Callithrix jacchus: one gene and its partner. The protein of the gene in region 2 purifies or fractionates together with the protein of the main gene of each other region. This does not show direct contact. Links are inferred from orthologs where the notes say so. Each region holds a gene or a part of one and is shown on either strand. Other genes may lie near its edges.

Region 1 (6,212 bases), on a different chromosome or scaffold from region 2:
CTCCAGCATTCCTACTGGTCAGGACTTCACAGAATGTTTCTACCACCCACTGTTATCTTTGGTTTAAAGATTATGCAATTATCAGAGTTAGGAAAGCATCTTTGCATCCAGAATTATAACCTCCCACATAAAAGCAAAAGGTGGTAAAAATGAAATTTCAATGACATTATTTACGACTTGTAAAAAAAATCAAAGAAATTTTCCCCATGATGTTGCCTAGATAATTATTATGCATTTACCTAAGTTATTACTTACTACTATTCAATTGAGATTCTTGAAGCTCCTAGGATGCATGATAGCTATGGACAATGCGGTTGATGCTATGGACATCATTTTAAATAAATACGTAAAAATAGGTTCTTAAGAATTAGTAAAAGACTGCAGAGAATGTAAGTTGCACAACTGTTCTGAAGGGCAATTTGGCAATACCACATATATCAAAAGCCTTAAAAAAAGTGCATTCTTTGATTCAATAATTCATGGCTATGCATTTATTGAAAGCGAGTAATCAAAAATTTACCAAAAAATATTCATTTCAGTGGTTTACAACAAGAAAAAAACAGTCTAAATATATAACAAAACATTAATTATGTATACACTGCAGCTTATCCATATACAGCTGTTAAAAATGCTATAGAAATAAACTTAATGCAAAGGAAAGCTCATGTACATTGCATACTGCTGAAAAAGCAGGTTATAAAATTTCATTCTTAAAAAACAAAAGGGAACTCTGTAACAATATAGGAAGGCCCAAAAGTAGTAACATCTCTGGGTGGTGGGACTATGGCTACTATCTTTTTAACCTTTCCATATGTCTGAGCCTTCTACAATAAACATTTAGTATTTGTATGTTTTTAAAAAAATCTTTAAAAAGCAATTACAATCTGTTTACTTTTGTAAAGGTTTGTTATTTTTCAAGCCTTTGTCTAAATTCAGCATGAGTGGTCTTCTCTAAAAACACACACAGATGATTTCACTATCATTTGAACTTACTGTGTCTTACCACGCAGCATTATTGTAACTCTACATTACAGGGCTACTTTTTCATGTGAAATTCTTGCCTATCAAACTACATTAGAAGCTATTCTATGTCAAAGATAGAAAAAGGTAAAAAATACTGTTGTTGTTTTTTGCAACTGCAGAAGAGTTTGCTAAGAATAAGATATCTCAGAGGTCACTGTGTTGTGTCTGCCACTCACCTTCACCGCCTGACTCTTGGTGTTGATAGGGGGGTTCTTCAGCGCTGCCTGTAGGGCAGCTGTCATGTTTCCTGTGGTGGAGGTTAAGGGTATAGCAACAAAAGGATGGCCCCCAGGAAAGCATTATAACCACCGGTTCTTAAGACTTTATATATAAAAAGAAAATTACTTTGGTTACCATGTTCAATACCAGATATTCAATGTGTTGGTTTCTAGGATGTTAATCAAGGGCAAAATATCAAAAGCAAAACAGAACATTAGAATTTCTTTTTAATAAAGCAAAGACTGGCTCGCCCCTGGTTCTAACTATCAAATGAATACCTTGATAATCTTTCATTTCCCAGTTAGACACATATGCAAACATTACCTGGAGAAACCCTAAGAAGAAACCCTAAGATATGTATCAGAATTATTAGTCCCCCAAATGAAATAACCGATTATCAACTAAAATATGTTTTTTCATGTGATTCTAGTTGAAAAAGTAAAGACCAAACTTTTACTAGAACTATATTCTATATTAACTAAAATGCTGGTAGAAAATGCTGGCAGATTAGCCATCTGAATGATAGACATTAGCAATCTCTCAATATTGATGAAAAGAGGCATCATAGAAGATGTAATAATTCATATGACCCTTAGGTGGCAGCCTAAGTTTTTGCTTTAGATACTTTCTCTCATATTTTACAAAGGTTATTCAAACTGTGTTAGACCATACCTATTAAATTCAGACTCTTTTTGAAAGCACTAGTGAGTTAGCAAGCATGAGAAACGGAAGGCCAATCAGACTGTCAGAATGTTCAGCCATTCCCCTAAAAGGAAAACCACAGAGTTCACTCGTTCCTCCATCTCCAGCACCCCACCACTAGGGCTGTCTTTCCTGGCTGTATGTAAGAGTAAGAAGAGACAGTATCTTTATATTTTAAGATGAACTGATGAAAAAGCAGATCCACTGATAGGGATACAGCAGTAACATTTAAGAGTCACCACAAATTACCTAAAATACATTGGGGTTTCATAAAACATCATCCATCTCAAATAATGTTTTTACAAAGAATGTTCACCCTTTATCTTCTGAAGAAAAAGGTCTCACACACACAAAATCTCTGGTTGATAAGCTGCAGGGATTTCTAGAGAAGCATGCCTTACGTAGACTGGCTCATTTCTTTATGACCCCCAAGCACTGAAGTATTTAAATAATGCAAAAGAGCAACAGCTAACTGTGAAAGTTGTGGCAATCAAAGCAATACCTATACATTGATAAATGTTTAATGCTGTATTTAGGTGCCTTTATAAAAGAATACAGTTGCCATTAAACATTTTCACTCACACATCTCCCCAATATAATTTAACAGGACATTGTTGAGGAGAGTCTTCCTTATGAATACACTCAAGAGAAGTGCATGCAAACCCAGTAACCGAGATTCTCTAAAACGACAGCCTCGGATTTTTGCAGCATTTACATCGCTCTAAAAAAGATCCGATGCATACGCGAATCAAAATTGATGAATATTCAAATATGCAAAAACCAGAAACCAGGAACTGACAGCCATATTTTAACTAACATGGAATCAATTTTAGGATTACAAAAATGATTCTGCTTTATACAAATGACTCATCTTCTTATTCATTGGGGTTTATTTTAAATATTTCCAAGGATTCTCCACATGCGTTCCCCGTCTTTTTTTCATTATCCTTTTCTTAGCAGGTAAAAGGCTCCAAGTTTTGTATTTTTTGTATTCATTCTCCTCCCCCGATTAACAAATTCTGTGCAATGTATACTTTGCCAAATCCCCCCCCCCTTTTTTTTTAAAGCCAATGGGCTGAAAGCACAGGAGGCCTCAATTTTCGAACCTTTCCATCTCCCCGCTCCCCCTCAGTAAGGAATAAACTACCTTAATGCTACCAATAAGAAAAACACAACAAAAAACAAAGCCACTATGGAAAGACGTCGGGTCCCCACCATCGGAGATTTCTGGAGAGAATGTGACCCCAGAAAATAGAGTTCTAGGAAGAAAAACTTAAGCGCTCGGCACCAGCCTTGCCCACCAGCCCGGGCCGCCTTCCCCTGCTCCGCGAGGGCGCGGCCGGCGGGACCCGTAGCCGAGGCAGGCACTCGGGCGCAACCTGAGGAATCGGGGGGCGTGGAAGGCGCGCGGGGGAGGGCAGGCTTCCAAGAGTGGGACCCTCGCGTCTCCCGGCTACTGGGGAGGAAACGGAAGCTCCCCATGCCCTCGCAGAGCGGGAGACCCCAAAGAGATAGGTTTCGTCGCGGGTTGAGAGTGCAGTTCCGCGCCGGTGCCCCGCGGATCCTGCAGGCGCCCGGGTCCCCGAAGAAGAGCTGGCTGGGCTGGGGTGGGGAGGGCGGCAAATGCAAGGATATTGCCGCAGGCAGGAGTCCACCTCGCCCTCGTCGGGCCCGGCCTGGCCGTCGCCCCCATCTTCTTCGTCCACGAACTTGTTCTCGTCATATTCATCCACGTCCACCTTCCGGAACCGGGCCGACGACACTGTGTTCTTCGACATCCCAATCCCGACCAGCGGCAAAAGCCTCTTGTTGCTGCCTCTACCTCAGCAAGCCCAGCCCAGCAGCCCACTGCCCGACGCCTGATTCACTTCCCTCTTCCGTTCTGGGGCGTCGCCGGCAGCCGTGACTCGGACGGTTCTGGGCCTGCGCGCCGGCCTCGCTTCTTCCTCCTCAGGTTCACGCTCTCCTGGCGCCTCCCACGCCGCCCCCGCTCTTCCACGGGGAGCGCGCGCGAGGGAGGGAGCGCGCAGGCCCGGGCTCAGGACACAGCGCGCAGGCCCGGGCTCTCCGCAGGAAAGGGGCGGGGCGGGGCGAAGGAGGCGGGGGCGAGAGGGAGGGCAGAAAGACGGACGGCGGGCAGAGGTAAGAGGCGATTGGTCGTCCGAGTGCGTCACGTGATTCCCAGGGGTTCCCATAGAAACGCTTTTCTCCGGTCCAGTCTGAGGGGTCTGAGGTTGGCGGCGATGGGCAGCAGCGGCGGGTGGCCTTGGCTTTTGCTGCAGCCATCAACGACCTGTCATCGGGGTCCTGCGTAAGGTCCGGCTGGCTGGGACTTGGCTGTGGGTGGGATGGACTGGCTGCCGGACCGAGTCCCCTGCAGTTGGCAGGAGTATGAGGCGGAGTGATGCACACCCGGGCGCCCAGCATCGTTCTAATTGCCGAAGACGTTGCCTCGGACTGTGCGCTGCCAGGGGCTGCGTTCCTGAGCAGGAAGCCCGTTTCCTGGGGTTGGAACTACCCTACTTGTCCAGCGGGAGGTCCCCAAGGACGGAGTCGAAAGGTCAAATCTTATCTGTCAGTGCTGTGTGACAGCATCGCGACGGGATCTGCAGAACCTGAACTCGGTATCATATCCATTCAGAGGGAGGGGAAGGTGTCCTGGCAGGCGCTGGGGTCGGGTTCTACAAAACTGGGGTGAATTTGTAGAATTTGGGAAAGGGTCATTGGCATCTTAAAATAGGTGGTTGTTTGGAGCAAGAATGCTCGAAGAGGGTGAGGGTAAGTTAGGCTCTCTAGTGCTGGGGAAAAATGTGTAGGATTAGTGGAAAACAGACCTTTGAGATTTATATTATGATTTAAGATTGATATGATTCCATCTAGGCCAGATTTTTAAAAAATTATTTGACATCCCCATTTCTGGAATGTAGGAGATAAAGGTACTACTAAGACGAAGGAAATGGTAGTTGTGCTGTGTGTATTACACTGAAGAACAAATATTTGCAGGATAAAATTAATTTGGACATTGGCTGGACACTGCTCAGGTGTGGGTCCAGTTTAGTTGGACCTTGAGCAGAAGACTGGCTGTTGCCCTGTTGTGTACCTCAATCTTTGGTTTCCTGTGCTGTGTCGAACACTGGGCTTAGAATCAGAAAACTCAGGCTGAAGTCTTGACTCTTCCACTCATAATATTTGAATGAGGCATGTCACTTAAAATTCTGTCTCAGATTCCTCATCACTGAAATGGAGCTAATAATGTGTACTTCACAAGATCGTTCTTAGGATTAAATATCATGGAAGGGTTTCCAAGCTCTAAAATTCTACATAAATGTCAAAGGCATGTTACTTGTACCATTGGTTTTGGCAGTAGTCTTATAAATTGCTCAATGATATGTGGTGCTTTATCTTCTAGAAAGATTCTGAAGGGCAGAGACAGTTTTTCTTTTGTATTTTCCTTCTATCTGACATAAAGCTAAGCATGCAGAAGGGACTCAATACATGCTTGATGAATGAATGAAATGTGAAAGACTGTACAGTTTGAGAACCATACCGAGAATAATAAATCAGAAGAGGAAGAGAGATTTTAAAATTAAACATTTGTTGGATATATACATATAAATACATATGTTCAGTCTTCTCTAAGTTTGAAAAAATACATACGTACGTGTGTGTATATTTATCTATGCAGTATATTATATATAAATAGAGAGAGAGTGGGAGAGAGACCTCAAGAATGGAATGCATCCCTTTTTCTTGGGAAGAAGCAATGTGTCATTTTTCTGTTCCCAGTTAAATCACTCTTTTGTAAGTATAACATTTAGGTGATAGAAGTAACATTGCTTTAAATTAACATTCAAGTTATGAACAGACACATTGGTAAAAATTCTCTTAGGACTGTCTTAAGACAGGAAAGGAAAAAATTTTACCTGTTGGTAATATTTATTTTAAAAAGCCATATACCAAAGTATAAAATCATTATATGGTGAATGGCATTATATAACATAGAATAAAGATTTATTTTACAATTTTTTTCAGTTTCAGTCTTAGCTAACTAGATGTAAAGGTGATTGTACTTTTTCTTCTTTTTAAATCTAGATTTTTCTTTGAAGAGAAAATCGAACATTAGAGGCACTATTGAGAGCAAGTGGAAACAAGGATTCAATAGCTAATACATCTCTTACATTTCTATTCTTTTGTATTGTCTGATTTAGAATTCTTTGTTTTCTTATTTGAGAACTACAAAAGAATCCCAGAATAGAAATAAACTTAAG
Region 2 (6,021 bases):
TGAGGTGGGCGGATCACCTGAGATCAGGAGTTCAAGACCAGCCTGGCCAACGTGGTGAAACCCCGTCTCTACTAAAACTACAGAAATTAGGTTGGCCTAGTGGCACGCGGCTGTAGTCCTAGCTACTTGGGAGGCTGAGGCAAGAGAATCACTTGAACTCAGGAGGCAGAGGTTACAGTGAGCCGAGACTGTGCCACTGCACTCCAGCCTGGGCAACAGAGCAACACTCTGTCTCAAAAAAAAAAAAAAAGAATAACATATCAGGTCTGAAACTGAGAGTTTGACAAGTATACCTACGTAAACCTCAACCTGCAACCAAGCACTGGGATAAAATATGTAAATACCAAAGGGAAGGAGACAAATCCTTGGTTGGCCTGGCACAGGGGCAGGGCTCACACCCAGTGCTTTGGGAAGCAGAAGCTGAAGGACTACCTGAGCCCAGGGGTTCAAGAACAGCCTGTACAATATAGGAAAACCCCATCTCTACAAAAAAATATATAAAAATTAGCCAGGCACAGTGGCTCACACCTATAATCCCAGGGCCTTGGGAAGCTAAAGAGGGAGGATCGCTTCAGCCCAGGAGTTCAAGACCAGCCTGGGCAACACTGCAAGACCCTGACTCTACCAAAAAATAAAAATTAGCTGGCCAGGCACAGTGGCTCACGCCTGTAATCCCAGCACTTTGGGAGGCCGAGGCGGGCGGATCATCTGAGGTTGGGAGTTCGAGACCAAGCCTGACCAACATGGAGAAACCCTGTCTCTACTAAACACAAAATAATGACCGGGCATGGTGGTGCATGTCTGTAATCCCAGCTACTCGGGAGGCTGAGGCAGGAGAGTCGCTTGAAACCAGGAGGCAGAGATTGCAATGAGCCAAGATTGTGCAACTGCACACCAGCCTGGGCAACATGAAACAACGTCTCTAAATAAATAAATAAAAATAAAAATTAGCCAGACGTGGTGGTGTACACCTGTAGTCCCAGCTACTTTGGAGGCTGGGGCGGGAGGACCGCTTGTGCCCTGAAGTTCCTGGCTGCACTGAGCTATGATCGAGCCACCGCACTCCAGCCTGGGCTACAGATCGAGACCCTGTCTTAATGAAAAAAAGAAAGAAAGAAAAAGAATAACAAAAAGGAAAGCTCTCGATTAGTCCCATCCGTGGGGGCTGAAGCTGCTCCAGAATTTCTACGGGTTCAAGGGCAGCAGCCTAGTTGCAGATGGGGGAACCACGGCAAACCTCAGAAGCTGTCCTCTGTGAACTGGGGGCATAGCCTAGCTCCCCCAACCTTTTTCCCTGCGGCGCCATCTTGGGAGAAAGGAACAAGTGACTCTGCCCCGCGAAGATTCGAGAAGGTTCCTGGGGGACTTCAGGGGCTTTCCACAGTGGAAGCACGGCGGGGGCGGGGGCTCCCTGCACGAAGCAGCGCTGAGGTCGACTGGTTCTGACCTGGGCTCTCTGAAGAGAGAAAAACTCAATCGTTGGTCAGGTCCAGGAGCTCCAAAGACCCCCCAATCCTCAGTCACTTATTTCCTGACAAAAGAACTTGCGAAACTGCCGAGGCGCCACACTTTGGCTCGCGATTGTGAGGAAACTGATTGAGGAACGGAATGGGACGCCCATGCCGCTTCGCCAGCACTTGACAGGCGTTCCGTGGGGCCACATTCCCTCTGAAAGGCCACCGCCTGTGCCGCAGCAGCAGCAAATCCGACCGCGTACCCTTCCTCACCACAGTCTACCTAAACCCGGACTGCGCGCCTGTGCTATGCGCATGCGCAGACCGCCCGCACGGCCTCACCGCGCAGGCGCCGTGGCTATTTCCGGGATCTGTCAGCCGCTCCCTCTGGGCTTCCGTCCTCCGCCCGCGCCCGCCGGAGCCTGTTCGCGTCGACTGCCCAGAGTCCGCGAATCCTCCGCTCCGAGCCTGTCTGGACTCCCCGGACCCCAGGTAACGGCCAGCAGGGGCAAGCGTCTCACCCTGTCGGCCTCTCTTGTCCCGGTCTCGCGCCGGACTTGGACCCGCGGGGGCGGTGAGGTGGGGGCTTAGGCCGCGGGGCCCCGAGGCTGAGGCGCGGCCGGGTCTGCTGGGGCCTCCTGAGGGGGCGGGGATCCCCTTTCTCCGCGGGTTCCCTGGAGTTTCTCTCTTGATGTTCAAGCTCCTAGCCGTCTCCAATGCCAGAATTAACGACCTATTCTGCGCCCCAGGGTCCTGATTGCACCTCTGCTGGGGACATTTGTCACCGTCTCTAAAATTGTGTCAAGCAGGAGAATCCCCTAATCGAGCGTCCCGCGGGACCATTCATCTCTTTAGCGTCTGGAGTCGATCCCTGCATACAGCAGGCGCCCATAGGATGTTTGCCTCCTCTCTAGGCAGCCCTCAATCTTTCAGTTACTGGGGAACCTTTCCGATCTCGAGAAAAACCTTCTTCTGAGTTCTTTCAGATCCCCCTGCATGAGTACCGCCTTCCCCCAAGTCAAAATCGCACCCTTCTCGGCTCTCCTGTTCGTAAAATCTTTTATGCCAGTCTTGGCACCACCACTTTGTTGGGTGATCCTGGGAAGACTGCTTCTCTGTGCCTGTTTTCCTCATGCAATAAAAAAGATTCTTACTGTTTTGCTAAGGATCAAATGAGCTTATTTGCATAAATTGCTTAGAATAGTTCCTGGCCTAGAGTAGGTGATCAATAAATATTCACTATCATTACTGCTTCTGGGCGTTCTGTGCATATCTGTCTCCCTTTCCTTTTCTACCTTCTCCACTCTTAGCAACCACCAACCCTCCAGACTTGAAGACCAGAATGGTGTCAGCCTTATTTATGTTTCTGTCCCCATCCCAGTATTTACAACACTGCTGGGAACATGGTAGGCACTTAATAAATTATAGCTTAGAATCTTTGATTATAAAGCCATCTGTTCTACTGCAGCTTTGGAACCTTCTGTCTGTGTCAACTCATAGCTTAAATTGCCGAGATTATCTTAATTCTGCCCTCTCTTCTCAATTTTATCTAGTCTTTCGGTTTTACATAGGCCCTGAGTTTTCAGGTAAAAACAAAGGAGGGGTATCAGTCAGGAAGCTGTTTTTGCCCCGTTAGGAAGTGGGTAACTGTGTGGCTGTTTTCTTCCTTTTTTTTCCTGCCCTGCAGCCTCGACCTCCTGGGCTTAAGAGATCCTCCCACCTCAGCCCCCTGAGTAGCTAGGACAACAGGCATGTGCCACCACAGTGGGTGAATTTTCATTCATTCATTTATTTTTCTGGAGACAGAGTCTCACTCTGTCACCCAGACTGGATAGAGTGCAGTGGCATGGTTCAAGCAATTTTCCCGCCACAGCCTCCTGAGTAGCTGGGATTACAGGGTGAGCCACCACGCCTGGCTAATTTTTTTTTTTTTTTTTTTTTTTTGTATTTTTTGTAAAGACAAAGTCTCGATATGTGGCCCAAGCTGGTCTGAAGCTCCTGAGCTCAAGCTCTCCCCCCACCTCAACCTACCAAAGTGCTGGGATTACGGGTGTGAGCCACGACACCCAGCTTATATGGCTATTTTCTCCCATATTCGGAGTATGTATTAGAAGATCTTGTGGAGTTCATCTACTAATCACACTTAAAGGAAGGGATCATTTTGGAAAACTCTTGTTTTGGAGGTGGAGTTGCCATACTTTAATCTAATTGTTTCCCAGTGCTGAAACAAATCCTTCATGAAGAAGTTTAAAATGGTCTCTTGGTGAGGTTGGTGCCTGGACTGGAGCCTGTCTGAACATTGAGGAGGGTGTGGTGACCTTGTTGGATTACTTGATATTGCTGGGTTGGGTAATGAGAGTGGTTAGAAACTAGGTGAATCACGGTCTTAAAAACTGACCCAAAACCAGGGACAGAAATTCCCACTTGTGTGAATACTTTCAAGCTCCAAAGGAGTAGGGCCAAGAATTTATAGCAAATGTCAACAATTATAAGCTCAGAGGAAACTAACTGCTGGGTTCTATGGTTGGTTTAAAAGCCTTGGGTCAAAGGAAGAAAGGGAACCTACTGACATGTATTTCAGAATAGGCTCTGTACTACTTGCTTTCACACGTTGTCTCATTTAATTCTCCTTGTGATGTCAGTGGTATATCCACTTTACAGAGGGGAAAAAAAATGAGATTGAGAAATATTAAGTGACTTGCCCAGGGTCTCATAGCTAGTGTGTGTCAAAGCCAGGATTCAAAGCCAGCCTTGGCTTCAGAGCCCATGGCTAGCCATACATCAGAATAACTCTATACACAGTGATAAAGAAAAGGGATGGGGGGCAGGCACGGTGGCTCATGCCTGTAATCTTAACACTTTGGGAGGCTGAAGTGGGCAGATCGCTTGAGCCCAGGAGTTTGAGACCAGCCTGGGCAACATAGAGAGATCCTTGTCTCTACAAAAAAATTAAAAGTAGCAGGGCATAGTGATGCATGCCTGTGGTCCCAGCTACTCAGGGGGCTGAGGCGAGAGGGTGGCTCACATTTTTATTTGTCCCCTTTTCTTCCTCTCTAGCTCTACTAAGACAAAGCTTTTCAGATTTCATTTAAACATTAACCATAGTTTAGAAGTTATAATTATCACCCTATGACAGAAGGTACCCTTTCTTAGTATATAATTCAGGCTATTAGGAATTTCTTCTGCATTCACTGGGTTTCATGAATGCAAGCTGTGTTTGCTAGGTGCATTCTAAATTTGACAAACATGAGTGTTGTCCTGGCCTACAGACTTAAAATAGCCATATGATTAAAAAAGAAGTACAGGTCTTGAGTATATGTCCAAACATGGAACTTGAATGATATGGCAAAATTAGAAATGCACACCGTTGTGTAAATGGTCACCTCTTTTGAAGTCTTTGGTACTTTGCTAATAAAACTGAGTTGAAAAATGAGAAAGCCTTTTGTCTACAGCTGTGCTTTTCAACTGGACATGAAACACGTACTTTTATGGCACAAAGATATTCACATCAAATTACTGATTTGCAGAGCAGTTTTATTTTCAGTTAACAAAGAAGCTTATCAAATGTGGCTTTTGAACTAAACCACTTTTAATTAAGGAGCTATTTTATGACACAATGTGTTATTTTGAGTAGCTGTAACTAAAATCTGTTGTGATGGAACAATTTGGAGTGAGCATCTGATATCAGAGATAAAGAGAGAAGCCTGCAGTGAGCATCTGGAAGTCTTAAAAAAAAATTAAACATTCTCATTTGAATTCATCTAAAATTTTTAAAATTGCCAATTCCTAAGCTCTTTCTTTGTCAGTCGTAGTTTGCTTTCTTGACTGTATAACAGAAAAAAGTAATGACTTAAGTATCTTCACTCTTAGAATGGAATGTGAAATGCTGACATTTCTCTGCCAGTTCAAGATATCAGATGTTATTTATTTAAAGTTGCACTTACTTTAGTTCGCCCTTTTTTTTTTGTTTTGATACAGAGTCGCACTCTGTTCCCCAGGCTGCAGTGCAGTGGCACCATCTTGGCTCACTGCAACCTCCACCTCCCATGTTCAGGTGATTCTCATGCCTCAGCTTCCGGAGTAGCTGGAATTATGGGTGCCTGCTACCATGTCTGGCTAATTTTTGTATTTTTAGTAGAGACAGGGTTTCACCATATTGGACAGGCTGGTCTCAAACTCTTTACGTCAGGTGATTCATCTGCTTTGGCCTCCCAAAGTGCTGGAATTAAAGGATTGAGCCATCGCTCCCAGCCTGGGTTTCTTTACAGTTAGCAAAGGTGCTGCTTCTGCTTTCTAACTGAGATTAATTTCTGCTTTGTCAGCTGAACTCTCATTGTTCACTTTACAACCTTCTAGTGGCCCTTCCATTCATTTCCTGCTTGCATCAGAATTCATATCTCACATTTCAGCCTCCACCCTAGGTTGACATGACTTATACTTAAGTGTGTTGAAACTTGAGTTTATAGTGAGGGTGCCTCCTGGAAATGATAAAGTTGAGGGTAGAGGAAGGCTGGCTGCTTTTTGAAAAATGTTCCCATTTCAGGTAATGGTTGTTTCTTCAAGTGTA

What was found.
Region 1: the proteins of ARPC1A (region 2) and ARPC5 fractionate together in Homo sapiens (co-fractionation; 8 studies listed by BioGRID and IntAct, counting the BioPlex papers as one, with this or other methods). This does not show direct contact. The link is inferred for Callithrix jacchus from reciprocal best matches to the Homo sapiens genes ARPC1A and ARPC5.

What each region holds. Positions count from the first base shown.
Region 1 is NC_133519.1:41,805,278-41,811,489, forward strand, and holds the start of ARPC5 (actin-related protein 2/3 complex subunit 5), read right to left. Parts: upstream 3,818-6,212; 5' UTR 3,723-3,817; coding exon 3,579-3,722; intron 1,272-3,578; coding exon 1,200-1,271; intron 1-1,199. UniProt on the Homo sapiens protein: Component of the Arp2/3 complex, a multiprotein complex that mediates actin polymerization upon stimulation by nucleation-promoting factor (NPF).
Region 2 is NC_133503.1:14,251,948-14,257,968, reverse strand, and holds the start of ARPC1A (actin-related protein 2/3 complex subunit 1A), read left to right. Parts: upstream 1-1,843; 5' UTR 1,844-1,946; intron 1,947-6,021. UniProt on the Homo sapiens protein: Probably functions as a component of the Arp2/3 complex which is involved in regulation of actin polymerization and together with an activating nucleation-promoting factor (NPF) mediates the formation of branched actin networks.